Linked DNA regions of Caenorhabditis elegans. Each later gene encodes a partner of the first gene's protein in a complex. Each region holds a gene or a part of one and is shown in the gene's direction. Other genes may lie near its edges.

What was found.
Region 2: unc-97 (region 1) and pat-6 share a complex: the UniProt entries of both Caenorhabditis elegans proteins name them as parts of the integrin containing attachment complex.
Region 3: unc-97 (region 1) and pat-2 share a complex: the UniProt entries of both Caenorhabditis elegans proteins name them as parts of the integrin containing attachment complex.

Annotation. Positions count from the first base shown.
Region 1 is NC_003284.9:5,589,858-5,598,715, forward strand, and holds unc-97 (LIM domain-containing protein unc-97), read left to right. Parts: upstream 1-3,275; 5' UTR 3,276-3,304; coding exon 3,305-3,447; intron 3,448-3,503; coding exon 3,504-3,616; intron 3,617-3,666; coding exon 3,667-3,787; intron 3,788-3,834; coding exon 3,835-3,987; intron 3,988-4,038; coding exon 4,039-4,282; intron 4,283-4,326; coding exon 4,327-4,451; intron 4,452-4,509; coding exon 4,510-4,657; 3' UTR 4,658-5,108; downstream 5,109-8,858. Other genes in the region: mec-2 (Band 7 domain-containing protein), read left to right, coding at 1-421; sulp-2 (STAS domain-containing protein), read right to left, coding at 6,079-6,254, 6,304-6,571, 6,623-6,695, 6,750-6,856, 6,915-7,282, 7,722-7,872, 7,925-8,089, 8,139-8,241 and 4 more. UniProt on the Caenorhabditis elegans protein: Component of an integrin containing attachment complex, which is required for muscle development and maintenance. Probably function in adherens junction.
Region 2 is NC_003282.8:258,586-267,910, reverse strand, and holds pat-6 (Paralyzed arrest at two-fold protein 6), read left to right. Parts: upstream 1-3,678; 5' UTR 3,679-3,686; coding exon 3,687-3,854; intron 3,855-3,899; coding exon 3,900-3,975; intron 3,976-4,020; coding exon 4,021-4,208; intron 4,209-4,268; coding exon 4,269-4,403; intron 4,404-4,950; coding exon 4,951-5,241; intron 5,242-5,296; coding exon 5,297-5,515; intron 5,516-5,851; coding exon 5,852-5,902; 3' UTR 5,903-6,025; downstream 6,026-9,325. Other genes in the region: T21D12.12 (BPTI/Kunitz inhibitor domain-containing protein), read right to left, coding at 47-160, 205-295, 1,290-1,460; pqbp-1.1 (WW domain-containing protein), read left to right, coding at 6,231-6,448, 6,501-6,627, 6,672-6,779, 6,994-7,235, 7,564-7,711; dpy-9 (Nematode cuticle collagen N-terminal domain-containing protein), read left to right, coding at 8,708-8,860, 8,905-9,205, 9,252-9,325. UniProt on the Caenorhabditis elegans protein: Involved in the regulation of cell adhesion and cytoskeleton organization. Component of an integrin containing attachment complex, which is required for muscle development and maintenance.
Region 3 is NC_003281.10:8,815,189-8,828,044, forward strand, and holds pat-2 (Integrin alpha pat-2), read left to right. Parts: upstream 1-3,710; 5' UTR 3,711-3,713; coding exon 3,714-3,886; intron 3,887-3,933; coding exon 3,934-4,171; intron 4,172-4,217; coding exon 4,218-4,341; intron 4,342-4,658; coding exon 4,659-5,070; intron 5,071-5,133; coding exon 5,134-5,363; intron 5,364-5,612; coding exon 5,613-6,088; intron 6,089-6,144; coding exon 6,145-6,281; intron 6,282-6,373; exon of another isoform or gene 6,374-6,465; intron 6,466-6,505; coding exon 6,506-6,700; intron 6,701-7,174; coding exon 7,175-7,886; intron 7,887-8,343; coding exon 8,344-9,180; intron 9,181-9,643; coding exon 9,644-9,790; 3' UTR 9,791-10,086; downstream 10,087-12,856. Other genes in the region: F54F2.9 (DnaJ homolog subfamily C member 1), read right to left, coding at 10,167-10,275, 10,419-10,728, 10,789-11,273, 11,699-12,039; F44E2.3 (uncharacterized protein), read right to left, coding at 12,309-12,470. UniProt on the Caenorhabditis elegans protein: Required for muscle development probably through the regulation of the actin-myosin cytoskeleton. Component of an integrin containing attachment complex, which is required for muscle maintenance.

The DNA of each region.
Region 1 (8,858 bases):
AAGTATATATGAAAATGTAACAACGGGTGATGCACCTTCGCAACCACAATCATTAATCATTCCTCAATCCCCGTCCGCAAAAAATAAAATGGCTCGAACTGAGTTCTTCACGCAGACTCCATCAAATGTGGTTTCCAAAACTATAATGGCTGCATCCAGTGATGGACAGAGTATTCAAAGCCTAGGAAGTACCGATTCAAATGCGACAGTAAGAGTTGAAGATGAGATGCGGAAAAAGTTCGTTGCAAGATTTGGAGTACGGAAGGCGCCAATAGCACGAGAAGAAGATCCAGCAGATCCGAAGCATGGAAAAGTGATGGGAAGTCAAGAAAGCATGAACTCTACAGATTCGAGGGAGTCCGTCGTTTCGGCGGCTTCAATTAAAGCGGAAGCATTGGCTCGCCGAAATTTCAACTACTAGTTATACTTGCATCTTCTTCTCCGCTTTCCGCTTCTTTCTGCACATCACAGTGAGTTTGAGCACATTTTTTTCAAAAAAAGGAACTTATTTGGAAAATTTCTCCAGTCAGTTTAAAATACTAAATTTAGTTTCAAAAATAAGTTCCTATTGTTATTACGTTATTCAATTCAATTACGTTTCCAATTGTAAATTTTTCAGCACTTCTGATCCGATAGGCAAGCCGATCAAGGAACGGTATAACTTTAACGAAATGGACCGTAATCTTTCCGCACTGGTCAAACCACTTTGGGCAGGAAATGAAAAAGAAGATCGTGCTGAAAAAGACGATAGTACATCATCTTGATCTGCTCCGGCTCCCCTCCCTGTCTGTGTGATTCTTTTTGTTTCTTTCAATTTTATCCTATTATTCCAATTCAACGCTGATGCATTACTATTGTTGTCATATTTCATTTCTGTCATTTTTTAATCAAATGTGCTGAACATTAAAAATTATCTGATCTCTTGAATCCCTTGTCTTGTTTTATGAATAAAAGTAATATATCAAAAAAAAAAGTCGAATGGAACTGCTGAAAGTGCTCCTTTTAGTGCGCATGATATTTTTCACACATATTTTTTTTGAAACGGTTTTGATCCGTGTCCAGTATCCATATTTGATTTTTTTAAAAGAAATTTTAAAAAGTTTGTGTAGACAATTCAATGTTTAGTTTTCCCTTTCAAGCTAGTTTTCACTAACAGGAAGATGCTATAAAACTATGAAACGAAAAACTTCAAGAAAAGGAAATTGAAAAATTGTGATCTACACAAATATTTTTCTAACATTTTCAAATGTGGATGATGAACACCAGACATTCGTGGCAACTGTAGACCAACTATTTTATAAAATGAGCCAGTTTGGCATGTGCTCACAAACTTTTTTATGGAAATTCAGAATATGGAAAACTACTTACTTTCTCTGAAAATAAGATTTTTTTAGTTGGGAAAATAGGACATTTTTGAAAGATTTTTCATTTGATGTTTTAACTTTCGGATTAATTGTGAGCACTTTTTAAATTGTTCCAACTGAAATTAAAAATATTTTTAGACAAGCTAAAGATTTTTCGATATCACTGAGTTTCAATTAAAAAATTTTGAGAACATGCCACACTGGTTCATTTTGTAGAAACTCACTTTGAAACTTATAGATTTGTGTAATAAAATACTCAGTTTAGAATTTATACACTGCTCCGAAAAAAGTCGGTCCAAAAACCTCTGTTATCGGTTTACGATCTTCTAGAAAAAGCGGTGGTATTTCTCAACACTGCGCACAGCTGTTTGGCAGGTGGAGGCATTTCTACTGGCAGAGGACCTCATTCTATAATGTCATCATTTCAAAGTTAGTCATTGTTTTCAAGCTACAATTTCTGGATTTTTGTCATCCTGATATATGATACTAGCTCATGATCAAGGCCAGTCGTAAGAATATAAAAACACAAACGAAGGTCAGATACTGAACATTTATCTGCCAACATTTGCGGGGTTCGTACTTTTCAACCATGTCTTTTGATTTCTCATATCTAAACTGATGATCCTTTCTTATTCTCACAACTGTCTATAAACATGTGTTAGAAAAAGCTTGTTCCTGCCTGTTCCGAGTATCAACGAGCAGCAATACTTGGCTATTAATGTGACCCTACGCACGCAACCCGATTGTATGCGTCTCTTCGAATCGCGCACTCTTCCCGGAGTCGTTACGTCTGCGGCCGTAGTCTGTGACCCCCCGCTTGGCTGTCGGCCAACCCGCCGCGCGCGCATTGCCTCTCGCTTTCTTCCACTCTTTTTAGTTGTACATTCTGCGCACTTTCTTTTTGCCCAGTAAATGCCCATATCACTGTGTGAGGAAAGTTGATTTTCAACAACTATTATCATTTTTAAGGTGTTGTTTATAACTATTACTATGTTTAAATATAATTCAAAACTTTATAGTTTAGCCGTATAGAAGTTGTATTGAATTTTTGGTTTCATTTTTACAACTAGTTTTATTTTTAAATGCAAACACCACAAAAGAAGCATTGTTGCTTTCCTCCGTTGCATCTCAAAACATCTGGTGTAATACATGTATCACATTTTGAAGCGTGAAATGTGCCGCTTCACTGAATTTTGTTATGTAGAGTAGTACATAGAAAGTCAAAAAAAAATCGAAATAACTAGTTCGAATTTTTTCCCATTTAAACACACGATATCCCAACCGATGTTTCTGAAGAATCTTTTTTCTGTTCCCAATCAATACTGATCATCAACACATCGGATACACGTCTCCCTCTGTGAGTTAGTCAGGGAAGCTGAGGCATCCTGTTGAATCTGTTGTGCAGCAGCACTCACACACATACTTTTGTTGTTCACTTATATCTCTATCTCTTGGTTCGTTTTCATTCTTTACACAAAATGCAATGGCAAAAGCTTCCACGCCACCGCCTCCGAGTTCTTCTTACACATATGTCAACCCGTCGCATCCTATACCTTTGGCACATTTGCCTCTTCCTTGAGGATTTCTTCTTTTCTACTGTTTCACAGCCCCCTCGTATAATACCTCCAGTGTTTTTACGATTCTTAGAATATGGAAATTTCTGTGTTTATGCAAAAATTTACTTTGCATATAACAAAATGTAGATATGAAATTCTGACTTTTTGTGCTCTTTTCGATTAACCAACATACCTAACCTATACACACTATATGCTTTCTCCGGCTTTCCCTTGTTTGTACATATTTGTCTTCATATTACTCGCTCGCTTTCTTTTCTTCTTTCCTACCCCCACCTTTTTCCTTACAAACCCATGGTCGTTAAACCATCCTGTGTGCATAGTGGCCAACTTTCAGTGGTTCAATAATAGATGGTGTGTGGCGGAATGGATTCCGACCACAACCATATCAACGGGGATCTCGCCCATGGCTTCGAGAACATGGTGTGCGTCCGTTGTAATGATGGTTTTTCGATGCAAGATCAGATGGTGAACTCTTCCGGGCAAGTATGGCATTCGGAGTGTTTTGTGTAAGTTTTTATAAGTTAGAATTAAGAGAACTCAAAAATTGCAAAAAAATTTTTAGATGTGCTCAATGCTTTGAGCCATTCCCAGACGGCATCTACTTTGAGTATGAAGGACGAAAGTACTGCGAGCATGACTTCCATGTTCTGTTCTCACCATGTTGTGGAAAATGCAGTAAGTATCTTTGAGAAGACACGCAGAGCCATAAATGTTTTATATTCTAGACGAGTTCATCGTTGGACGAGTGATTAAAGCAATGAATGCCAGCTGGCATCCGGGATGTTTCTGTTGTGAGATTTGCAATAAACAGTTGGCCGATGTCGGATTTTTACGGAACGCTGGACGGTAAGTTGGAGAGCGTAAACGAAGCTCGAAAGAATTTCAATTTTCAGAGCTCTCTGTCGCGAATGTAACGAACGGGAAAAGGCAGCAGGTCATGGACGATATGTGTGCCACAAATGCCACGCAATGATTGATGATGGACAACACATCAAATTCCGTGGAGATTCATTCCATCCTTATCACTTTAAGTGCAAACGTTGCAAGTAAGAATTTATCTTGTTTTACAGTATGAGTTGAATTTAAAAAATTTTCAGCAATGAATTAACGACAGCTTCTCGTGAAGTAAACGGAGAGCTCTACTGTCTCAGATGCCACGATACCATGGGTATCCCAATTTGTGGAGCATGTCACAGGCCGATTGAAGAGCGTGTCATCGCGGCACTCGGCAAGCACTGGCACGTGGAGCACTTTGTCTGTTCCGTCTGTGAGAAGCCATTCTTGGGACATCGTCACTACGAGAGAAAGGGACTTCCATATTGCGAACAGCACTTCCACAAGGTACTTGAAATATGAACAAGCAAACATTAATAAGTTTGTTGCAGTTATTCGGAAATCTTTGTTTCAAATGCGGAGATCCATGTTGCGGGGAAGTATTCCAAGCTCTTCAGAAAACGTGGTGTGTCAAATGTTTCTCCTGCAGTTTTTGTGATAAGAAACTTGATCAGAAGTGAGTGCAAAACTATTCATATGAACTTGATGAAAACAAATTAATGTATGCATTGCAGAACGAAATTCTATGAATTCGATATGAAACCAACATGCAAACGATGTTACGATCGGTTCCCCACAGAATTGAAAAAGCGCATCTCAGAAAGCTTAAAGGACCGCGACGTTGAAAATCAAAGAAGATCGATGAGTCCTGGACCAAAATAATAAAAAAGAAAGAAATAAAGGAGTCCCCGTAATTCATCAATTTCCATTAAAGAAGTAATACTTTCCAAATGCCATTGCTCATTTCTCTTTCCCATTGTTTTTAATACCTTGGTGCTAAAAAAAAACATCGTGAAAATTGTTATCAATCCGTTTTGTCTTTTAAATGCCTTATATTTCAAAACTATTTTTCGGTCACACAAAAATGTCATTGTACTCATTTCTAGCTCCATAATTGTCCTTCCCCTTCCCTTTCCCAGCTACTTTTTGATTCAGAAGCCTTCTGAAAACAATCATAACTTTCGACCAAATTTTTTGTGTTCCTATCCGCAAAAACTTTGCATCTTTTCTCGGGTGTCATTATTGCATAACTTGATTTCTGAATTTTTGTACTATTTTTTTGTTCAGAAAAAAAATATTGACTGTATTGAAACAAAATCGTATTGTAATATTGAATCCTTTTTTTCGGCATCAACAATCAATTTGTAATCAGTGATCAACAGGAAGGTGAGTCCATAGCGCCCGGAGAGATATTTTTGGTTCAACTTGAAACGTGTTAAGTGAGAATTATACTTTCCAGTGTCAAAATGTTTGTGAAATTTCTAAAAATACGAATGAGCCAGTAGAAATGATCGTATTGCACTTGAAATTCTCTTGGGAATTTATTTGTTGAAGCTTCAAAATGTGAAAGAAAAATTGGGCTATTCCAACAAAAAACGACTTTCATCGTTTTTTTGCTCAGCAAACTCTGTTTGATCATTTTACATAAAGATGAAATAGAGTCGATGATTTTTTTTTAAATTCAAAATGACAAAAAAAATTCAGTTTCCAAGAAGTTAATTTCGTTAAAAAATAAATTTTCAATTATCGATTATTTGAAGAATTTCCAACAAAATTCTTCTTTTTTATCAATTTTTTTTTTGGTTTTTTTTTGTGGAAAAGTCTAAAATTTTGTAAGATTCTGTTATTACTCAAAAATCACAAAAAAGGACAAAAAACTGACACAACTGTAAAAAACAAACATATCAAAATTAGGTAATTTAGTTACGCGGGTATGGGAAAATAATTCAATACTTTCTATTTTTTTTTGTTGCAAAATTTAACAATTAATTAAAAAATTCAGAAAAATTCAATGATTTTTTAAACTGTTGTGCTTATTATAGTGCAACTTTTTTCCAGTCATTGAGACCAAAGAATCCATAGATGTTATTCCATCTTTTTCCAAATTTTATTTATTGACAAATATCTAATTAGTTTAAAAATCTAAAATCAAACCTCAATTTACGGTAACTTTATTGAAAACTTGAAGCATGAGCAAGTTTAACAAAAATTTCAAATATTGACCCAATAATTACACATATTATGACCCATATGATTAACAAGTTGATCAATTGATAAAACTGATAAATAATGATCTATGTATTCTAAGGCACAATCTTTTCTGGCGGCATACTTTTCTCGCAATCAAAAAACATTTTATGATTTTTAATTAATTCGTGAGCAGAATCCAGCGCATCTTGAATGGAGGGATACATTTGATTTCTTCCAATATTCCCTTCTCCAATCAGGCCAGCATTTCCATATTGTCGTCGGAGTGATGCTGAAATATCCCAGCTAAGGTTATAATTGTTTAAAAATTTTAAACTCACACTTCAGATTTGCAAACAACAGGAGTATACGAATTTGTCGTAATTCTTCATTAATTTGCTTCACCGCAGCAATCCCCATAGAATCCGTATAAATCCAAGTGTGGCAGTCAAGAATGATTGCACTCCACTCAATATCCTCTTGGGAATCGCAACTCGCGCTTCTCTTTTTTGTGGTGGCTGATGTCGAATCGCGAACGTTATCGAGAAACTTCTCAACGTTTGCGAAAATCAGTGGTGCATCAAATCTAATGATTCGGAACGATGTTTCCTTGAAAAATAAGTTTTTGGAAAAAAGTTGTCAGAGGGAAATTAAATTTACCTTTGCCAAGCTATAGTGATTCATTGGTCTAAAATCATTTGGTCGGATTTGCCCAAGAAGTTTAATCGTAGGTCTGAAAAATGTCGAAAAGCTATGTCAATTTTGCGTGTTAAATCTACAAACTCACTGCTGAGATTGTATTGCAATTGTAAAAATTGCCGTGAAAATTCCAGCAGCTACCCCTTGCGCAATATCGGAACTTAGAGTCACAACAGCAGTAATGATCCAAATCCACTGAAATTATTTTGGTTTAAAAATTATTTTGGGTTATTTTAAGTGATTAAAAACCTACGAAGTCATGTTTGGAACACCTCCAAAGTCCTGGTAGTACTGTGCACTTTCTCAACATAGATTCTAGGACAACAATTACAATTGCTGACAGAATACAACTTGGAAGTGATGCTAGATAAGGACCGATTGTTGTAATCACAAGTGCCATGAAGCAAGCACTCGTTATTCCAGATAGTTGGGTTTTAGCTCCACTTCTTTCGTTAACAAGGGTTCTCGAAAATGAGGCTGATGTTGGAAACACCGAGAAAAACGAAGATCCAATATTGATAAAGCCGAGGGCTAGAAGTTCCTGATTGGAATCGATTCGATATCTGTGCTTTGTGGCAAACTCCTGTCCCATTGCCATTGTGACAGCATATGCGACAACAGCTGGAAAAGAGAATGAGGCTGTAACTGATAAATGGCAAGTTTTTAACCAGCTTCGATTTTTCGCACCATAATACAACTTATAGGTTCGGTTTTACGGTGACTTGCTTGGATTTTTTTTTCTGAATTTTTTAGTCAATTATTATTCAATTAGAAATGAGACCCGCCGCATGTCAACTGTTGTAAGTTTTTCCGAAATAGCATCATGTATTTTTGGTACTAACAAGAATTAAAAAAAAATTATCGACAAGCTTTTGTTATTTGAAAATATTCTGCTAACTATCATGGTATTTGAGCTATACGTGTCTGAAGAACTCAAGCAAATTTGTGCACAATAGACAACAAACAGAATATTGGCTGGCACTGTACATATTGGGCTATATTGAACAATTTGATGTAAAATCCCTACTAGTGGCCTTCATCACCTTCAAAGAGAACCTACCAATTGAAAGTGCGTCCTGAAAAATGTACGGCCAGATGTCGATACGGGGAACATCCGGATACGGAAATCCACGGGGAACTGTGTGTAACGTTTTCACACCAAACCTGTGTTCAAAATCAAAGAAATATGAAGCCGAAGTGGCAATGACTATCTGCAAGGTTGAACTATTGAATTCGAAAAATCAAATATAGTATTTAACTAACCGTGATTAGCTCTTTCGGAAATGGTATACTTTGCAATTTTTTGTGATTTTTGAAAAATGGCTCAATGAAAATCCGGGATCCAATTAAGAAAACGAGCGCAGAAGCAGATATGCAGAGTGTAGCAGTGTTCGATTTATGACAGTTTTCGAAAATGTCCAAAATTGACTGAAATCCACAGTTTAAGTATTAAGTCATACTTGGGCAAAACTCATACATGAACAAGACTGAACCAATGTTCGTTTCTTGATGGTACAGAAAAACCACATAATTTCGGAATTTGTGATACTACTCCAAAGAAGCACGCGGAGAATGTTATCCTAAAAAACTTTAGTTAAAAGAATTGATTTTTGAAAGAAAAAACAACGCTGATATTGCAGGAGCACCAAGAAACTTCATGGGTTTGTCACATCGAAATATTGCCATCACAGCCTGAAATTCGTGTTTTCTAAGATTAAGTTAACGGTGCTCTAAATAAATACCTGAATTATTCCAGTTAGAATACACAAGCTTGTCACTATTTCAATTGCTTGAACACTGGTGAATTCTGAGCCCAAAAATTATATAATTTATCAGAAAAAATGCTGATTAACTCACTTTCAGGATTTTCATTTCTGAATTTCAACATCTTTTTAACACATTTATCGACCATCAAACATGTAATTGAGAAAACGCCGATGCTCGAGTGTTTGGCTGATCCAAAAATTGAGTAGAGAAAAGGCGGGAAAAAACTCGCATAAAGACCGTACACAGGAGGAAGACCCGCAAGAATTGAGTATGACATTGCTGGAAAATTTTTACAAAAAATTCAAAAAAAAATGAAAAAGGGGAAAAAGTACCTTGTGGAACATTGTAAACGCCCATCGTAAGTCCTGCGATGAAATCAGATGCGAAATTGTTGATTTGGTACCTGAAATTATAAAATTATAAAGATAGA
Region 2 (9,325 bases), on another chromosome or scaffold:
TTAAAGATCACTATAACTTTTCAAAATCTCTTCAGAAAATAGTAACCTTTTGTTGGACAGCATTGTTGATTTTGACACTCGTAACCATGTGGGCAATTCGAACATCCAACAGTCTGACCAGAAGTGGCTCCAGCTGGGTATGCTCCAGATGGACATACAGCTGAAAAACTATTATACACCTTTGTCATCCATTGTTCAACTAACCGTAAGCTAAATCGTCAGAAGCAGTCGCGTTCCGGCAAGCTGATTCACAAGCCTCTTTCGATTGGAATCGATTGGAGTTGCCGTCGCATCCCTAAAATTGTTTTATTCATTTTAATTGAACGTTTTTCCAAGAAGTATACTATTCTGTTAAATTCAACGAGAAATTTCCGTTTGTGAGAAGATAAGGTATATTCCTAGCATCAGCTCAAGCACAAGCTAAGAATATACCGTAAGTATGGCCCTTAGCCTGGGCATAAGCCTAACCTTAGCCTATGACAAAACCTAAGCCTAACTAGGGAACCATCAGAAGGTGCCCATCAGACTTGCATATGAAACCTATGCCATTCGATAGCCCATGTCTTAAAACGGTTACTCGTGAATTTTTAGCTGCGAATCTCCAGAACCAAGGTCACTGCGAGCTCTCAAAGATTCTAAAATAGCACTATAACGAAGCACTGTAACGATGAAAAGAAGCAATTTTCCAAATTCACTTTGGTAGCCTATATCTCCGTGGATATATTTTTTACAGAAAAGTCATCAACTAAAAATTTTTTTGATAAAAACTTGTAGTTGAAAGTTTTTATCAAAAAAATTGTTGTTTCAGATTTAACTAAAAACTTGTTCTTTACAACAATATCAACAACTTTTTAGTTGATGACTTTTCTGTAAAAAATTTATCGGCGGAGATATGAGCTACCAAAGTGAATTTGGAAAATTGACCTTTCAAAGCTTCGTTACAGTGCTATTTTAAGATCTTTGAGAGCTCGCCGTGAGCTTGGTTCTGGAGATTCGCAGCTAAAAATTCACGAGTAACCGTTTTAAGACATGGGTTATCGAATGGCATAGGTCTCATATGCAAGTCCGATGGGCACCTTCTGACGGTTCCCTAGTAAGCCTCCTCCGAGACTAAAAATTTTGGAGTGACCTTCTATTAAGGTCCTCTTTCAATTATAATAGGTTTCATTCGGAAGTCCGAGGACGAGCTGAAAGGCTTCCCTTGTCAGCCTAACTCTAAACCAAAGCTTAAGCCTAAACCTAAACCTAATATAGGTAGTATGCTAAAGGACTACTGGAAAAAACAGTACCTGATAGAAAAATGGCTGACATGTGCGGGTATTCTTGTGGAAATAAAATGAGCGGGCTCCCTGCTGACCACATCCAGAATTTCCAGTATCGCGAGCGGAAAAACAATCTGTCTGCTGTTGAGCAAAGCAAAATGTTATGAAAATGGTGGAAATCGTAATTGCAGTTAGCATTGTCTGAAAAAATACAATTTTTTTTACCCGTTAATGATCAATGAGAGTGGAATAATATTACTAGCCAATGCCAATTAAAAGCAGAAACCAAAAAGAAAACTTCAATTCTCGAATGATCTTTTCCTATTTTATACTCAAATTCCTAGCAATATTTACTTAAGAATCTTCGTCCCACCTACATAACTAAGATTTGGCAAATATCAAAAGTTTGGTCAACAGGAAAATGTTCAAAATTGAGTTGGTGGTTAACAAATAACCTACACATTCTCCCGAAAAAGAATTCATTAAAGATCAATGGGCACGATTGAAAACATGGCAAAGTTTTATTGAAAAATGAAAAACAGGCAAATATTTGGCTGAAATCGCTCAGTTTTCAGAAAATATCCACACTTTGACTGAAAATGGTGTAGGAATTGATGTAATAACAAGAGACAACAATCGATGTGGTTCCGTTTTTACAAATCGAATTGTTGATAACAAAGAAAATAAGGGAGCGTTTTGAAAATGAAGGAACTGGTTTTTCGATTGTACGAGATACAATAGTTCTTGACACAGACACCTACAATTTGTTGATAACGAAGGATAGACGCATCGGGTTGATGATTAAACAAATTTGAAGGAAGTACACGAAATTTCAAAAATTTAAAGGTGGAGTAGCGTCAATGGGGATTTTGTCTAAATACGCTTATTATGATTTCAAACGACCGAATATCATAATAAAACTACAAAAATTTTTAGATTTTCCCTAATTTCGGTCAAAGTTTTGGCACATTACCAAAATTTTGACAAATATGAGCTTTTGAGGACATCCAAAGCAATGTCGCATATTCCGGTCTTTACAATGATTCAACAAAAATAATTGAAACAAAATTACAGTATAAAAAATGTAGGAAAAATAATTTTTTTTGGTCGACTTCCAAAATTATGAGTGGCAAAAACTGAATATTGAACACTTTTTGACAGTGAATAAAAATTTTTCAAAAAAGTTTTGAAAAGTTTTATTATGATTATTTGTCACTTTGGCACCATAGGAGTATTTTTTAACACTTACTCCATTGGCCCTACTCCACCTTTAATAATTTTCAGATTTCCTAATTTTCTAGATTGCATGCTAATTTTTACAATTACTAGTTCAATGTTTCTTAATCTGATTTCGGTTTAATGCAACTATTATCATACGCCAGGAAATCGAATGTACCGTACGTATAATCAATGTAACTGATGTGATTTTTCATAATTTTTTCCTAAAATTGTTTTTCAAAATTTTTTCAAAAATTGCTATGGAAAAAACTATTTTCAAAAGACCGACCTGTGGACCGACTGTACCGTATTTCCTCTATTAGTCTTGCACTCCTACAGACTAATTGAAAATCAGTCTTACAGCCTGTAATAGTCTAGCACCCCACTTTTTGTCATATTAGCAGAACTTTGTGGAAACGTAAGCAAATTTATCATTTTTGGAGTAAATCAAATGTAAAATCGTTCAAATAATTGATGTAATATTGGGAAAGTATGTATTTTTCATTGTTTGAACGGTCAAAATTGTATCACTTTCCAAAGTTCGAAAAATAGTTTTCAGTCTCTATTAGTCTTGCACCCCTAAAGACCAATTGAAAATTAGTCTCGCATGCAAGACTAATAGCGAAAATACGGTAAATGCAGAGTTGTTGTCTTTCTTAATTTATTTTTATTTTTATTTATTTGAATATTAGTTGTTATATGGACGTCCTTTTCTTTCTCAATACATATGCATATACAAATATTAACTTTCCGTTCTTCTTTCCTATTCCCATACATTTATATGTATCCCAAAGCCTTCTCTCTCCCCCACACACACCATTTATCTGCACCATCCTCTTTTCACCCAATCTCTCATTTGTCGTAAACTCTCCTTCCAACTCTACGTCTCTTATTGTTCCCAACACTCTCTCACTTTTTCAACACTGACGACGGCTGTTTTACACTATCTGCTGGCCTGGATGGGGACTTTTGTGTTGCTCTACGGAAAGAATCCTCCCACACAATATTTTTACTGCTATTTGAACATTGAATTATCGATTTTTCAAATTTAAATTTAAGTGCTTAAAGAGGAAATGTTCCAAAACAGAGTTTCATAATGAGACTTCAAAATTTTTTTAACTTATCAATATCTAATTGTACTTTATTTTTTATTATGAATCAACAAATATTTACCCCTTAATAATTTTAAACTTTTCAGCAATAACCATGTCAACACTTGGTCGTAGTAAGACCCCATCTCGTGACGAACCAAAAAAGCCTGGAGTCTTTGAGAAACTCTCTGGTACCCTTTCTCGAAAGAAGAAGGCGCCGGAAGATGAGCATGGAAACCAAGGGGGTGCACATCATGCTACTGATGAAGATGAAGTTTTGGAGGTTAGTTTTGCAAATTAATGGTTTTAGCAAATATAGATTTTTCAGCTTGAACTTGAAGGTCGTGAGGCTCTCGATCAGTCATTGGTCCCAGTTCTTGCAAGAAACATCTGGTTGGAAGAAGGTAAACGGTTTCACCAATATATTTATCCAATATATTTTTTTCCAGGAGAAATTCGTCGTTATCTGACTAAGGAAACAGCCCGCGATCAGAAGTTGGCACAAGTTGTCGATTTGCTGATCTACTGGCTTAATGAAGAGCTAGCTGATCAAAGAATTGTCGTTCGTCACTTGCAAGAAGATCTTTTCGATGGTCAAATCATCCAGAAGCTGTTGGAAAAGTTGGAGCAGATTCGAGTAAGTTATTGGTACAATTTCACAAATTGAATAAATTCTCCACTCACAGTTTTGTTACAGATCGAGGTTCCAGAAGTTTCGCAGTCAGAAGAAGGACAACGTCAAAAACTGCAAATTGTAGTTCAAACAGCCAATCGAATTCTCGGACAGCCAAGAGAACAAGAGAAATGGTCTGCGGATCTTATTCATCAAAAGGTACGCAAATCTTTGTCTGAATTGTTCATTTCTATCAGTCTTACATTTCATTGTGCAGATGTTTGACGCACTGTAGACAAAAGAGTTTCTCACTCGAAGCTGTTCCAAAAACTACCGTATATTCTATATTAGTATGATATGTTAATCTGTGGACACCTCCGCCACACAATACTATTCATCATTTACTATATATAAAGCGCTTATTCTGTGTGTCCATAGTTTGTAGTCTATGTAGTCTTTGTAGTCTGTGAAGTTTTGGCTTCTTGGGATAGTGAGTTGGGGTTAGTGTAGGGATATAGTCGAAGTACTGTATTGGCACAATAGTGGTACGGTAGGAATACTGTAGTTTCAGAAAAAATCAGTTTTCACCCCCAGGTCCACGGCTGGTAATCTATATAGAAATTCGTGAACTGCAATACTAATTTTCGAGGTGGTTTTTGGATGCAAAACTTATTGAGAATATACGATAGTTGAACGCAACAGTACTTTTCGAATAAACAGAGTTACTTTCCATATTTTATATTTTCTCATAAAAGAATATTCCCAGGACTTCACTGCCATCATCCAGCTCCTGGTGCTTCTTGCTCTTCACTACCGTGCTCCAGTTCGATTCCCAGATAACGTGGTTGCTAACGTTGTGGTGGCTCAAAAGGAACATGGTCAAGTGAAGACCCATCGAATTACTGAGCAAATCACTACAGTTCAAACTGAGTTGGCACCGAAGGGCACTCGTGACGCATTTGATACGCTTTTCGATTATGGACCCGATAAGTTGGCTCATGTGAAGACATCTTTGTTGGCTTTTTGTAATAAGCATTTGAATAAAATTAATCTGGAAGTAAGTTTATTCACTTCATTGTGCTACAAAGAAGCTGATATTTGTAAATTTTTAGGTGTCTGATTTGGATAATCAATTCCAGGACGGAGTTTTCTTAGTTCTCCTAGTGGGACTTCTTGAAGGTTATTTCGTCCCGCTTTACCATTTTAATCTCCAAGTTCAAAGCCACGAGGAGAAAGTAAAAAATGTGCAATTTGCGTTCAAACTTATGGAAGACACTGGCCTTGAGAAGCCTAGATCTCGTGTTCAGGATATTGCCAATGGAGATGTTAAGGTTTGTAGTTTTGACAATTTACAGAAAAATATACCATTTTCCTAATTTAATTCAATTTACAATCCTCAATTTTAAATAGTGCAAAATTTTAAGGGATTGAAATCAAAGTGTAATCGCGCTTCAGCCGGAAATGAAAATGTCCCGCCTCCTTTAATTGGGTCTCGTTAGGTATCGCCATTTGGTTGAAGCGCGATTACATTCGCAGTTGTCGAATTTTCTTTTCACGACGATTCAGCAATCCCGAAGAATTTTAAACAAGTGGCAAAAACAAATTTTCTGCTCATATCTGATGCGATGGATTTTCTATATACAATCCTAATTCATTCTTTATTGCAGAGCACTCTCCGTCTTCTCCATTTGCTTTTCACTAAGTACAAACATATCTAATCTGAGAACTTCATTCGTCATCCTAATCAAACGACACCGTCCAATAATTTGTGTCTGGCTCAACAACTATGGTGCTTTAATTTTGTTAAAATTGCATTTATGTCAATAAATCTTTTAATTTTTAGACTTAGCACTATATTAAATTAAAGAAATTGGCAAATTCCGAAAAAAAAACTCTATTTGAACTCCCTCGTAAAGGAGATTTGCAATGGGGCGCGTTTGCATTAATAAAATTTAATGCATTTTCTCATCGATTCTTTTATTCTTGTTTCTTTATTTTAATTAATATGAATTGATTGTATATAAAATTGTATTTATTTTACAGAAAATGCCTCTTCCACCAGCTCTTCTCGCTCGACTTCAAAAAAGGGGAATTGTAAAGCAAGAAGAAGAGGTTATCGCTGAAAACTATGAAAAAGAGCCAGAAAAGAAAAGTTTCGAAGAGAATTCGGCAGGAGCACCTGGTTGTCCAAATAAATGGAATCAATATCACGTTTGCCTCGAATTTTGCTATGATCATTGGGGCGATGGAACTCCGGAATATCGGTTTGTTTTGAATTTTAGCGAAAAATTAATTAAAAATCGTTTTTTTTTGCAGGTTGCCCGAGAGATATGTGCAGAACAAAAACAGAATGCTTGCAAAGTTTCCACTTCCCGAAAATTGGGTTGAAGTCTATGATGAGGGACTTGCGAAGTATTATTTCTGGAATAAAACAACAGATGAGGTGAGAAGCAGAATAATTTTCTGATTTTAATTGGTTTTTTTCAGGTTTGTTGGTACTCGCCTCGTCATCCACGAGCTATTATCAGTGATCCAGCTCCTCGAATCGCCAGAGAGCATGCTACAGTGCTTTTTGGAGATTCTCACGCATCTGAGGTAGAATTTGAAGCTGAAATCGTACTTAATGGGTATCGCCGCCGGAAAAAAGTAGCTTGTACTTTTATTTTTGCTATTTTCAACAGTTTGCTCAAGAAATTCTAGAAAAAAACTTTCATGGACAAAACGCGGCGAGACTCATTTATAAGGATCCGAGCGCCTTTAAATACGAATTTCCGAACATTTATTCTTTAAAACTATGTACTTTTTCCAGGAGGACAATGCCGCCCGCCGCAGAAATTTCCACAACAAGAAAACTTCACGCGGAGGGAATGATGATAAGCAATCACGTGGCAATAATGCTGAAAAGCGGAAGCGACGTGATCCGATGACGTCACAGGGTCCAGATTCAGATGAAGACGAGTTACAGGAAATGACAAATAAGGATAGACTGAAAAGAGCAAAAAGGAAAGGAATTGATCCAATGGATCCAGCAGCTTATGGAGATGCTCCAGTGTAAGCTTTTTTTTCTAAAATTCTGTTTCTGAAGCGAAAAAATTAGAATTTTCAAGAAATTGGATTCAAAAATTCAAAAATTTCGAGAAACATAAATAAAATCTCAAATTTAAAATCTCCAACTTCTCCGTTTTTCAGCGGTCTAATTTTAGCTAAATTTATAGTTTTTCTTCAGAAAATTATAATTTTCCATTTGAAATTTGGGGAATACGGTAGCTTCAAAAGTACGCAACCCGAAAATACAACGTTTCCGGCGAAATGTCGATATGAAAAAATTATGAAAAATAATATTTGAGCGAAAAAATTTGATTTTTATATGATATTTCAGTGGAAAATGGTCGGATGGTCTTCGAGTTGATCAGGTGACTGGAGCCGACGTGACTGCTGGTGGACCACTTTTCCAACAAAGACCCTATCCTGCTCCGGGAGCAATTCTCAGAAAGCAGAAACCACAGGATGAAGAGGACGATCAATAATTCAATTTTATTGTTTTAATTTTTGATTATTTTAATTCAAAATTCCTACTCCACTTCCTTCCAAAAGTTCTGTCATTTCCTACTATTTATTTGTTCTGTTTTGTACCGTTGTACCTGTATCTTTTTCTTTTTCTATGCACATAAATGTGCTCAGACATCTGAATTTTTCTCTGTGCTTCTCCAAAACATTTCCATAAATTCATCAACTGTTTCTATGCATTAAATAAAACGTACAATAGAAAAAAAGCAGCAATGGAGAGATAAACTGAGAAGATGGTAGTAATTGAAATATTACAGGAACACTAAATGCTGAGAATGCGTATCGCACAACATATTTGACGCGCAAAAGATCTCATAGCGAAAACTACAGTAGTTCTTTAAAAGATATACTGTAGCGTTTGTGTCGATTTTTGAAATGATTTAATTTTTCTTAATTCTAATATTCTATCGATAAAAAATTATTAAAATTCATTTCGAAAAGCGATCCCGTAAATCGACACAAGCGCTACAGTATATCTTTAAAGAACTACTGTAGTTTTCACGAGATATTTTGCGCGTCAAATATATATATGTTTTTCGATACGCATTCTCAGAATATTGTTTTGAGCTGGAAATATTCTTGAATGTGCCTGATATTGATAGGCTTGTAAGTGCTAACACTCTTCTTTATAACCACAAAAAAGCATTTGAGAAAAAACGACAAAACTTATTACTTGGCCTAATAAAATAGTTAATCGTAAATTAGAATTACATTCTACTGATTCTATGTTGTTATTTTCGTTGATCTTTCACTTTTATGTCTCTCTCAATGTGGAATCCTAGTTTCTTGTGTGTTACCTTCTTCCCCTTATCAATCACCTAAATCGGAGAAAGAGGTCAGCGCCCTCATTTTTTTCATCCGTTTTTCGATTTTCTCCATTTCATTTGATCAGTTTGTTGAGTACACTCCCTAAAGTTTTCCTTATATTTCTTGTTTTCAATACTTATTATTGCAGAATGGAACCGTCCAACATATGGCGGACGTCTACCATCGTTGGTAGTGTTGTTTCAACATTTGCAGTTCTTACAGTAATCATTGGACTTCCACTGATGCATAATCATGTTCAGAAAGTAACAACTCTGATGTTAACAGAGGTAGAGTTGTGTAAGGTGAGAATATTGATGCTTTGCCAGGAATAAGCCTAGATATTAAGACCGAGTCTCAAGACATCTGGAAACAAATGAAATTCTCTCGCATGGCACCAAACCGTACCAAACGTCAGTCTCCATACGGTAACTATGGAGCTTCAGGGTCAGGATCCTGCTGTGCTTGTACTCAAGGATCACCTGGACCACGTGGACAGCCAGGAGACGACGGAGAACCTGGACGTGACGGTTTCCCGGGCAGAGAAGGTGACAATGGTATAGCTGGAAAGTATCTACCAGCTCCACCACCAGGAACCAACGCATGTCAGAAATGTCCAACTGGAGCTCCAGGACCACCAGGACTTCCAGGTAAATTTGAATTGCATCAGGAAATAAATTTAAAAATTTGATTCAGGACCAAAAGGACCACGTGGACCAGCAGGAATTGAGGGTAAACCAGGGAGACTCGGTGAAGACAATCGTCCAGGA
Region 3 (12,856 bases), on another chromosome or scaffold:
ACATCCATCTTCTTTCAAAACTAAAGCAATCGTCGACATAGTGTACACTACTTCGGGTCTTTCACCACAATCCATAGTTTTGATTTAACATTGCAGAAGTTTAGGAAAACATTTTTTGGCTGTGTTTTTGCAAACAATCGAGTTGCTGAAGGAACTGTAGATTTATCGAATTATTTAGTTTTGCAAAGTGAATGGTATTTGTTTTTAAAAAATTATTTGTTTTTCGAAAACCTAGTAGCATACCATGCCAACTTCCTCCTTTTTCATGTCAACGAGATCTGATAGTGAGTAGCACTTTATAAAGCTTACTGTTAAGCTTTTGCAACGTTCTATCTAGCTTTGAGAACTTTTTGACAGTTTTTCTCAACTTTCTGTCGAACATTGTTGCTCTTTAATTCCGAATGTTTTATTATTAGTTACTTTCTCTACAACAACTCTTAACCCTGTTTCTAAGTTCCGCATTGTCAAAATTGTACAATTTCTTGTTCAAAAGGTGTTTCGAAATCGAAAACGTCGGGAAAACACACAGGGGTCCCTTTTCTCATATACTTTCCCCGGTTGATCCAACGTCTCTACGATCTAAGAAGAGAAAAAAAGAAAGAGAGATGGTAAGAGGGAACGTAGGCGTCTGGTGTTAGAGCATCGCGGTCATCCAAGTGATCTGCCGAGTCGAAGAGCCCTCGGGAAGAGAGCCCAATAAACAGTGTGTAGCAATGCGAGAGAGTATGAGCAGGCAGAATATCAACGATGTAAAGAAGGCAACTGCTTCTTCTTCTGCTGCTCCTGCCATCTCGCATCCTCCCCCGTGTGCCGTCGTCCCGTAGAGCACTTTATCCAGTCTCTCAACTTTCCGTTTTCTCTTCTTTTTATGATTTTTGATATTGATCTCATTGAATTTTTCTACAATTTTGCATATCGAGTTGTGAAATCTCAAAAAGTGGGAACTCATTATTTAAAAAAAAAACACAATAGCTACAGTAACCGTAGCTTCGTAGATTTTTTTCTCAGGGGATTAAAGCTTTTTAAAAAATTATTTAGGAGAATCTTTTTAGAGGACTGTACAATCGAACAGTTCTCAACATAAATCGACAACATAATTTGCTCAGTTCTGAGTGAAGAAATCATACGTAAAACTTGAAGTTTTAAGGTTCTTCGTAGGCCCTTATTTACGTCTATTATTCAAACCCTTCTTGACATTTTTTTCCAATAATAATAGGCTATCCCGCTGTTTTCTGAATTAAAAAGTATCAAGTAATCATCAAATGTTTTTCAAAAATCAAATAAAATATTGTGTAAAAACCAAGCTCTTATCTGATTTCAGACAAAAATTTGGCATTTCTATACTAAATTATAAATCCATCTAAAAAATTCCAACACCCAGCTTCTTCAGTAATTTTCCTGCAAAGAGTATATTGTTCATTTTCGACACTCTGAATATTCTCTGTCTCACCGAATGTCTCACATTCTTCTTTCAACAAAAAAAATTGTTCTCGCTCGAATGCATCATTGAGAATTCACTACCAACGGCGAGACCCCTATTCTTTCTTCAAAAAGTGTGCTCCATGAGCACCTGCACCACCTGCTCTTGGGATTCTTTGATTTATTATTCCTGGATTTGGAAATGAAATTTCTGGAAATTGTTTTATTGACTAAGATCGTATAATTCGCACAATTAAGTACTTTATTATAATAGTAAAATGCTTGGTTTTAACATTGATACCTTTGTGCGTCGCCGATTTGAATTCTATAAATGTTCGACTTTCCTATGATTGCAATTCTTGACAATCAAAAAGAATGATCGGTAATAAATATTTAATTGTTTTAGGTTGTAATGAAACGGTAATGTTCACCATGTATTAGTTGAAAAGCTATTATGAAGATTATTAATCTTTATAGAAGGGATTATGATTTTTTTGTTGCTTAGTTAGTCAACGTTACTTTTCACAAATGACCCATCAATTTAAGATTCTTTTTTCAAAACCTACCTCCTAATTTAACTTCCCTTAAATCTTGTCGACATCTTTTTTTTCCAAAAATTCATTTTCCTCCTAACCACCCAATTAATTCATCCTCCCCCCGTTCCCTCAATTTATCACTTGTTCCTCTCTATTCAAAACATGACCTTTTTGTCGGAGAGGGAACAGTCACCAGTCAACCATATCTTGGATTCTACTGACAATTACTTCATGCCCACATCCCAATACTCTCTATTACATGAACTTTTCACCAATATATAAAATGTTGTTCGTATACTGATGGGCTTCAAGTAGGCGTGATTTTTAAAACACATACTACAAATATTGGAGAAAGTGCCGTATTTGTTCTATTAGTATTGGTGCAATACGTTTTTGACCACAATATTTATGTACTTGAATTAACTAGATTTCACTGTGAAAACTGAAACTTTAAAAACTTTAAAATCTGTGGCAACTTATTGTCGAATTTTGGCAGGAAGTTTCCCTGATATTCCAAGTAGGTTCAAAAATTGAATTCAATTATCAAATTTTGGTCTGGTCAGATTGAACGTCTACTATTATAATAATTTTGCAAGTTTTTCAAAATATTAGAAAATCTCTTTGGTGTTTCAAAAATAGTAACTGCATATCTACTTGATTCCAAACTAATTGCTTCTCGTGTCCCCAAATAAGTGGTGCCTCTTCCTCCGCCCCCTTCCATCCTCCCAATTTCATCCTCAATTCATGCTTCCATCAATGTCTACGTCTCTTCGTCTCTCACACTCTCTCACCATTAGACATATGTTTGATAACTATCCGGAAACTGAAGAAACTATGTGTCCCTTCCTCCCTTCTCTATTTCAAACGACTCTTGACTCATCGTATTTTTCGGAAATTCATGGGATAACTATGAGTCTCCAGATGCCAGTTTTGTTTCGGAATTTCCTTTTTGTACGTTTTTCACAAACTTCGAATTTCTGATTTTTAACTCGTAGTCCAGCCAATATTCTGAATATTTTGAGGGTTCTCCGGTAATTTTAAAGATTTTCGAATGAGTACAACTCAAAAGCTAGAGGTTCCAGCAAACAACTTTCAACAGTCAAAACATTTTGAAATAGTTCAATTGAGCATTTGAGAAAATATTGTTGTTGGCTCTCGCTCAATACACAACAAATATTGAGATTTATGCAAAATTCGAATTGCTCCTTACTTTGCTTCTTCATCAATCTTGCTCCACGTGTCACGGGTCATTTTGTTCCCCCGTTAATTTCCGTTCGCTCACTTCTCCTGTTCGTTCAATTCATTTCTTGATATGTTCATGACTCAATGTGAGTGTGTCAAATGCTCGTAGAGCTCCCTTCTCAATTATAAATGACTTGTCGTCTTCGGAGGGTCAGTTCTTTGTTTCGCAATCGCGTGTGCTCTGTTCAATTCCATTTTTCCTTCCTTCCGGTTTTTGGAAAAGACACCGATTAGGCTTCATTGATCCACATGTTAACTGAGAATTTGAAATTATCTCAGTGAAATTGGTCGCTACTTTGAATTTAATTCATTTAGACATGAAAAACGTTCCAAAATTAAAATTCAAGCAAAGTTCTTTATTTTCCCTTTCAAAAATATTTCTTGGAACTTTTGAATTTGAGATTTTGAAATTTTTTTTCTATTCAATCAACTTCTAAAATCGTTTCATCTTCCGTATACTCGTTGCAAACTTCTTTCTGATTGTTTTCAAAAAACCGAATTCCAAATTTCCAGTAGATGCGAGAGGGTAGTTTTCCGCGAAGGATCGGCTTGCTTCTAGGCTTACTGGGCCTTTTAGCCGGAGTTGCCACCTTCAACATCGACACAAAAAATGTAGTGGTTCATCACATGGCTGGTAACTACTTTGGATACTCACTCGATTTTTACCATGAGCAGAAGGGAATGCCTGTGTAAGTTATTGAATTAACTGAACAGATTTTACATTCAAAAATTTCAGCCTCGTTGTCGGTGCCCCTGAAGCTGAAAGCAATAACCCAAACCTGGCTGGAATCCGAAGACCTGGAGCAGTTTATGCTTGCTCCGTGAACCGGGCAACATGCCGAGAAGTCCACGTGGATAAAATGAAGGGAAACTTGAAGAAACTCAATGGATCACATCTTGTTCCAATTGAAGAAAAATCACATCAATTCTTTGGTGCAACTGTTCGATCAAATGATAAGCATGATAAAATTGTGGTAGGTTTATTCTGCGGAGTTTGAAAATTAAAAATTAAATTTCCAGGTGTGTGCTCCAAAATACACATATTTCTACTCAAAATTCGAAGTTATTGAGCCAGTTGGAACCTGTTTCTATGCTGAAAATGGATTTGATAATGCGGAGGAGTTTTCATCGTGCAAACAAGAACGTATGTTTTGGGGATACTTAATTGGTACTGCAGGGGTACTGTAGTTTTGGAAAAAGGAGTTCGAGAAAAGAAAGTTCTGGGAAGTTCTAGAAACTTCTGAAAATTTTGAGGAATTGCAGGAATATTTTAATAGTTTGAAAAGTTTCTGCAACCCTCAAGACACTGTTAAAAACGTCTTAAAATTTTGAGATTTTTTTGGAAAATTCTAGAAACTTCTAGAGGCTCCTGAAAAAAATCTGAAAATTGTTGAACCTTTTGGAATAGTTCAGAGTTCGAACAATTGGTAACTTTATAAAAAATTAGATGAAAAATTACAGCTGCTCGCCACGGTCGTCATCGTCTTGGATACGGTCAGTGCGGATTCTCGGCTGCAGTTCCAGGAAAGAAGAATCAAAATCGTGTTTTTATTGGAGCCCCCGGTGTGTGGTATTGGCAAGGAGCAATGTTCTCACAGAACATCAAAAATCAGACAGACCGCCCGAATACCGAGTACGGTAGCAAGGAATACGATCACGATATGATGGGATATTCTACAGCAACTGGAGATTTTGATGGAGATGGTATTGATGATATTGTTGCCGGAGTTCCACGTGGAAACGATTTGCACGGAAAATTGGTGTTATACACGTCGAAACTGAAGATGATGATCAATTTGACTGATGAGGTGTCAACTCAACATGGACAATATTGTGGAGGATCTGTTGCAGTTGCTGATGTAAATAAAGATGGGTAAGTGAGATTCACAAACACATAAAATTACAATTCTCTAAATATTCTCTGTATTAATTTCAGACGCGACGACATTATCATGGGCTGCCCATTCTACACAGATTACGGTAGCGTGAAAGACGCAAAAACACAAGAAAGAAAACCACAATACGATGTCGGAAAGGTCATTGTGATGCTTCAAACTGCTCCAGGAGTCTTTGGAAAACAGATTGCAGTTGTTGGAGATGATCAGTGGGGACGATTTGGACACGCAGTCGCAGCAGCTGGAGACTTGAATTTGGATGGTTATAATGGTAGGGATTTTGCTACTAAAAATGAACGAATTTGAATTTCTCACAGAAATTATTTTACGCGGAAATTCAAATTTAGTTTTCGTATTTTCACTTTTCTTTTTCTTAATTTAACAATTTCTTTAGACATAAAAAATCCTAGATTATCGGAAATTTGTGCGGCATTTTGAACTTTCAATCTCATTTGAACCGCTATGGAAATTTATTGCATTTTTTGTTGGAAATTTTAAATTACAAAATAGTGTTTTTCAGATGTAATTGTTGGTGCACCATATGCTGGAAAAAACAAACAAGGAGCTGTTTATGTGATCCACGGATCCAAAGATGGTGTTCGCGAACTACCAACTCAGAAGATCGAAGGAGCCAATATTGGTCATGGAAATATCAAATCATTTGGCTTCTCCCTTACTGGAAACGAAGATGTTGATGGAAATGGAATGCCAGACATTGCAGTTGGAGCATGGAAATCTGGAAATGCAGCTGTTTTACTCACAAAACCAGTTGTCACTGTCACGGGACAAACTGAACCAGAGAGTGCATTGATCAGTGTAGAAGATAAGAATTGCGATGTTGATGGAAAATTGGGAAAACAGGCATGCAAACATATTAATACATGTTTCAAATATGAAGGAAAAGGAGATACACCAAATGATTTGGAATTTGATCTTCGATTCAATCTTGATGATCATTCTCCTGAACCAAGAGCTTATTTCTTGCAAAAAGATGTGGTAGGTCACTTTTTTAAAACTAGATAAAAATTTTTAACACAATAATAATATTTCAGAAATCTGACAGAAGCATTAAAGTTGCACAAGGATCTAAAACAAGAGACCATCCATCTTCAATCGAACAACGTGTTCGTCTTGAGAAGGGACGACAAAAGTGTTTCAGACATCGATTCTTTGCTTCTTCCACAATGAAGTGAGTTTTCAGAGAAAATATTTTGATTTTCTTTCAAAGTTTTTCAACTCAAAATGACCACAACTTTTTAAATTTTTTTATCAGAAAAAATTGAGAAAATGTTTGCTCTGCTGTGAAAAAAAGTTCAAGGCTAATTTTTGAATGTAAAATAGTTCGTATGCTTTGCAAACCTTCAAATTAGAAAATAAAATGTTTTCTAAAAATCAAAAATAAAATAATTTCAGAGACAAGCTCTCCCCAATTCATTGGTCCGTCAACTACACATATGTTGAATCAAAAACCGGAAAACTTCGTGGTGATAAGCTTGAACCAGCAATTGACACAACTGTACCACTTTCATTCCAAAATAAGATTAATATTGCAAATAATTGTGGAAAAGATGATCTTTGTGTTCCTGATTTGAAGGTTACCGCTGTTGCGTAAGTTTTTTTAATTTTCAAAATGATCGATAAAAAGTGTTGAAAAAATACATTAAATATGCCATTTTTTCATTGAATATAAAAGAAAGGGAAACATTGAAAATCCTCATTACAGTAAGTTTGAAAAATTATTGAAAAAATGGGTTTGTCTCGAAATGTTTTAATCATTACTCTAATTTTAAAATTTTCAAAAAAATATAAGGAAATGAGCGAGAAAAATTGAATATAACACAAAATACAATGTAACCTAACTCGACAATTTTCAAAACATTTTTTATAATGAGACAAGTTCACAGCCATTTTTAAAATGTTTGCTTCAGGATTTTCCTGTCAAAATAATTCCACGAAGATTGTATGTTTCTTTTCTTCACGGAATCGGCGAAATTTTCAGTGAAATCATATCATTAAAATAATTATTCCTAAACCTATAAACCAAATGCCAGCAATTAAATTCTTTTAAACATATTTTTTCAGTGATCGTGAGAAATTCCTTTTGGGAACTCAAGACAATACAATGCTTATCAATGTAACAGTTCAAAATGGAGGAGAAGATTCATATGAGACAAAACTTTATTTCGATGTTCCACAAGGATTCGAATACGGTGGAATTGAAAGTGTTGGTGGAGATGGAAGCAAGTCTGCTCCAGCTTGTTCTCCAACTTCCGATGAACCAGATTCGGATGGAAAATGGACTTTTGCATGTGATCTCGGCAATCCACTTCCAGCTAACAAAGTAGTTAGTAGTGTTGTAAGAGTGACTGCTTCTTCTGATAAACCTCCACTTGCTCCAATCAGTATTAATGCTCATGTGAACAGTAGTAATGATGAAGAAGCTCATACTGTTGCTGATAATAAAGTCACATTCACTATTCCAGTTGATTTTAAGAATCAATTGAGTTTGAATGGTAGATCAAATCCCGAACAAGTCGATTTCTCAATGACGAACAAAACACGTGTAGATGCTTTCGATGACAATGAAATTGGTCCAGTTGTTTCACATCTTTATCAAATCAGTAATCGTGGTCCATCTGAGGTTGACTCAGCTACTTTGGATATCTTCTGGCCATCATTTTCCACTGAAGGAGGTCATCTTCTGTACATTATCACAGAACCAGTTGTTAATCCACCAAATAAAGGAAGATGTCGGGTCAAACAACTGCAAAATGTTAATCCATTGAATTTGAGGGTACGTTTGAATAATTTTTAAATTTCTAGACATTACTTTAAAGGTACACGCTGTTTTTCTGAGTGGGTCTTGCCACGATCTCATAGTCGTTGCAAATCCCCAATTTCTGTAGACACTGAATTTTATAACTCTGTACATTTAAAATTGCAGTGAAATACGGAAGGAACTATTTTGTTTTAGAAATAGAAGTAAGAAACTTTATCATTTTTAGGATAAAATTCAAATTTCTTGGGAAATTTTGAAGAATTGTTTTCGTCAGTTTCTGAAATGTTTAGAATCGGCGAGTTAAAAAAAAATATTGGAAACAATCGAATATGCTGAAATATCACAAAAAAAATTGATTTTCCGGTTCGGGCTGACAAACTTCACTTTTTTCAATTCAGAATCCTGAACATCTTATTTTATAAATGTTCACAAAAAATTACTGTCGCACATTAAAAACGAATTAAAATTTCAGATAACAAATGAGCATGTTCCAACTGAACCACCAGTTGCCAAGACACCAAATGAATATTCAAGAGAAGAAGATGATGAATCATATGAAGATGAAACAACAACTCAATCCCAATCAACACGTCATCAATCTACACAACATCAAACTCATCATCAATCTGGTCCAGTACATGTATACGAAAAAGACGAGGAGAAGATTCGTCAGAATACTGGAAATTGGCAATATGTTGAGGATAAAAAGAAGAAGGGAGATTATGAATATATTCCAGACGATCAGGAATATGATGGAGATGATTTTGAAGAGGAAGATGATGAAGATTTTGATAGAGCTGGAAGTAAGAGAGTTAAAAGAAATCCAACACCAAAGAAGAAGAAGAAGGGAGGAGAACACCGTGGTGAACCAAGAAGTGATAAGGCTAGATTCTCTGATCTTCGTGAAGCTGTTAAACTTTCGAAGGAAGCTGGAGGAGTTGTTGATTATAAGGGACCACTATCAAGAGCATCTGTTGATTGTAATTCATTGAGATGTACACATATTGAATGTGATATTTATGATCTTAAAGAAGACGAGTTTGTACTTGTGGAAATCTTCTCTAGATTATACACAAACACATTGGTTGATGAGAAAAATCCTGGAGGAGACATTTCATCGTTGGCTCTTGCTCGTGTCACATCTACTAAATACAATCTTCCACATAAGCCAACATTGATAACAGCAGTATCTACAAATATGAATGCAATTGCTTCTGAAGAAGGAAGAGATCTTCCTTGGTGGCTTTATCTTTTGGCTATTCTTATTGGACTTGCCATTTTGATTCTTCTTATTTTACTGCTCTGGAGGGTGAGTTTCAAATTTAATTTTCAAAAATACGATTTATTACATAACAACATAGATATTGGCTTGCAAGTTAAATTAAAGTTCTTTCGCCAACTTTCATGCTTACTTGTGACGCAGCAAAAATTATATCTTAATTTCCAATTTTGTGAAGCGGTTTCTCAAAGCCTCATTGATTTATTCGGATGGGCCTCGCCGCGAGAAAAGTTTATGGTTCAAACTCTGCCATTTTCGAAAGGTAAAAAATGATTGTCACAAAGATTAAGAAAAACTGAATTTAAAAGAAGTTGCCTACGACATTAAAGCTGTGCTCACACGCTTTCGAAAATTTCACAGCAACGTCCACGGCGAGCTTACGTCGGGGGTACTGTAGAATATAGGTAGATCAGAGCGACTACAGTATACAACCAATTTCGAAACAAATTTACAGTTTCCCTCAGAAAATAAATAATAATAATCTAATTTTCAGTGTGGTTTCTTCAAACGTAATCGTCCACCAACTGAGCATGCAGAACTCCGTGCCGACCGTCAACCAAATGCTCAATACGCTGATAGTCAATCCCGTTATACATCACAAGATCAGTACAATCAGGGACGTCACGGACAAATGCTATAATATTTTCCATTTTTTGTTCCTTATTCTTTACTATTCACATCTGCGGGTGTCTTTTTAAAATTATCATTTTGGTCCCAATTTAGTCCTCTTGTCGTGCCTTGCCCCCCAATCTTACTTTCATGTTCGATCGTTTTTCGGAATCTCCGCTCAATTTGGTGCTTTATATGTTCATATTATGTTTCTTTGTTTTCCAATTAATTACCAATACATTGACATGTTTCTAGTCGATATTTTTGATGTTTTTTCTTTTATTATCATCAATTTATTAATAAAAATTTAATAAATAAATAAATATTTAAAACGCGTCTAAAACAATAAATTTTGGAATTTCATCAAACCCGACCAACAAAAAAACGGAATAAATATTATGACAAAACTAGGTATCATTGGTTTTCTTTTTTCGAATCATCTCAGCCAATTGCTTGAATCTGACCATCACTTGTTTCTTCGTTTTGCTTCCAATTTCTTCGGAGATTCTTTCCCACCTGAAATTTAATATTTAAAACATTCCTCTGGATATTATATTATGGGGACCCAGAAATTTTACCGTCAATACCTAACGAAACCCAACGCTTGGAGGATGAGCGTTCTCAATTTCAAAATACCCATTTCTAGTTTCCAAGCTAACCTTTCATCAGTTCCCTTTGGATATTTCTGCAATGCGGTTTCAAAAGCCTTCTGCTCAGCTTGACTCCAATCATCTTCTGATTTCTCTTCAACTGGTACTGATTGTTGAATAGTTGTCATCAACAATTTCGTATAATCCTCTTGCTTCATCTGTTTCATTTTTCCAGCCATTGCAATAACGTCTTCTGCACTTCTATTCAAAACTCGACCCATTTGTTCCCAACGATTCGGTGTTCCAGCCGGGTATTTTTCAGTGCTCAGTCGAACCAGACTAGCTAATTCATCAGGCGTCCATGTTGCTCCAGATTGTTCTGAAATTAAAAGATCATTGAGTAGAGTTCAGAAACCTTTTTTCTGATAAATTAACTTACTCTGTGCTACAACTTCATTTTCTGCTGCATACTTTTTCTCCATCTCAGGATCATTTGTGGAAACTGCTTTCATACCTTGAGCCACTTCAAATTTAAACTCTAGTTGCTGGGGTGCCGCTGCTGCTCTTTGTTGCCTTCTCTGTTGAGCCAACTCCTCTTCTGTTGGTTCTTCAGGTTCAACTTCTTTAGGTGTCATAGCATCTTTAGCAGTCAATGCCAAGTTTTTGAAGAGGGTTACTGTACCTCTAGCAAGAATAATTGGAAGAAGTTCTGAATATTTTGGAAGATACTCTTCAAGTGCTTGTTTCATCAATTTTTCTGCTTCCGCTGGATCTTCTTTTTTCGATTTTCGCGATTTTTTCACATTTTGTTTGTAGACAAGAGTTTTCTCGAAATATGCCGCCCACATCATCAGGTAATGAGCGATAGTTCCGATAAAAAGAAGCACAAGGATTCCTTCATACCATGCAAGTTTTCGCATTCGTCTGGAAAAAATTATTTATAAAACACTATTTTAAAAAAATCCGAATTATTTCAGTTAACCATGTGATATGGAATATGGTGGAATGGGAAGGAAAATATTTTGGTATTTCTGCCAATTTTTAAGACTAACACATTGCATTTTATTTCTGAATTTGATCAGATTTAAGATTGTCACGCAACTTTTATTGGGCAAACCTAGTTACTTTTTTTTTGAAACCATCGCAAAACGTATAATAGCAATGGGGATTTTTTTAAACTATTTATATGATTAATTGGAAAACTCATTCAAATTTTAAGAATATATTTACAGTCAAAAAGCATAATTTTTTAAGAAAAACAATAACAATCTTATGTAGTTTTCTCGTATTTTTCTGTACATTTTTTTTCCAATTTTCAAAAATAAAAACCACTATGTGAATTCCCTCACCTATAGTAATACATAGGATGCCTCCACGAAGGTAACCCATTTTCCAGAACATTATCATATTTTTCACGAAGTTCTGTAGTCTTCAAAACTTCATAGATTCCAGCAACTTGACGAAACTTTTCCGTAGCATCAGGCGCAGAATTCCTATCCGGATGCCATTCAAGTGTCAATTTTCGATATGCTTTCTTTACTTGATTCGACGAGGCATCTCGTGGAATATCGAACCACTCGTAGAAATTAACTCCGACTTCTTCCACTAAATCATATAGAGCCAAATCTTCTGATGTCCATTGACATTCTGTTAAGGATATTAGGAAGGCAAGGAGAAGGATGACCCGCATTCTGCAATAAATATTTCAGAAAATTCAACCAAATTTTTTTAATCTATAAAAATTAGAGATTTAAACGATTTACGTATACATTTTTATTATTGGACCAACAAAAAATAATAAATAACAAAGTTTTTTATTTGGTTTTACGAAATTTTGAAGCGAAGACAATTAAATTTTAAAGTGGCTTCATTAAACAAAAAATAATAAACTCTGAAAGAAGTGAGTGAAGAGATCGGCGAGGTAAAGTCAGGTGCACAGGCGATTTGTTCATCTTGTGCTCATTTCCCAAATTTGAATTTAATCGGAGCCCGAGAGTTGCCTGATTTGTTCAATATCGCCTGCTGCTCATTCTTTTTCATGTCCGATTTCTGACGTGCAAGTTCAGCACGATCTCGTTCCAATTGGCTCTTTTGCTCAAGCATTGCCAAACGATCTTCCTCCTGAAATGAATAACTGTTAAATTAGGTCGAAGTGCGGAAATTTGATTTAATTTAAACTAATAAAATCTAAAATTGATTGTGACTCGCGTTGAAGATGAAGATGATATCCTTGCACAAATACCTGCTAGACGGGGGGCCGAATCATCAGCGACGACATGTCCTTTCGTTTGTTGGCACACAAAATTGTATAAATCAAAGAGGAAATGGAATTAATTGAGGAGAAAAAGAGAGAAAAATTAAGAAAAATGTTCAAGACGAGAAATAGATATTTGATATCTTATAAGCTGCTGAAAAGATGTAGAAAAATGAATAGAATCCGGCAGATTTCGTAGATCTTTCGTATAATTGGAATATTTGCATTCTTGAAGTTGGAGGAGACAACTTAC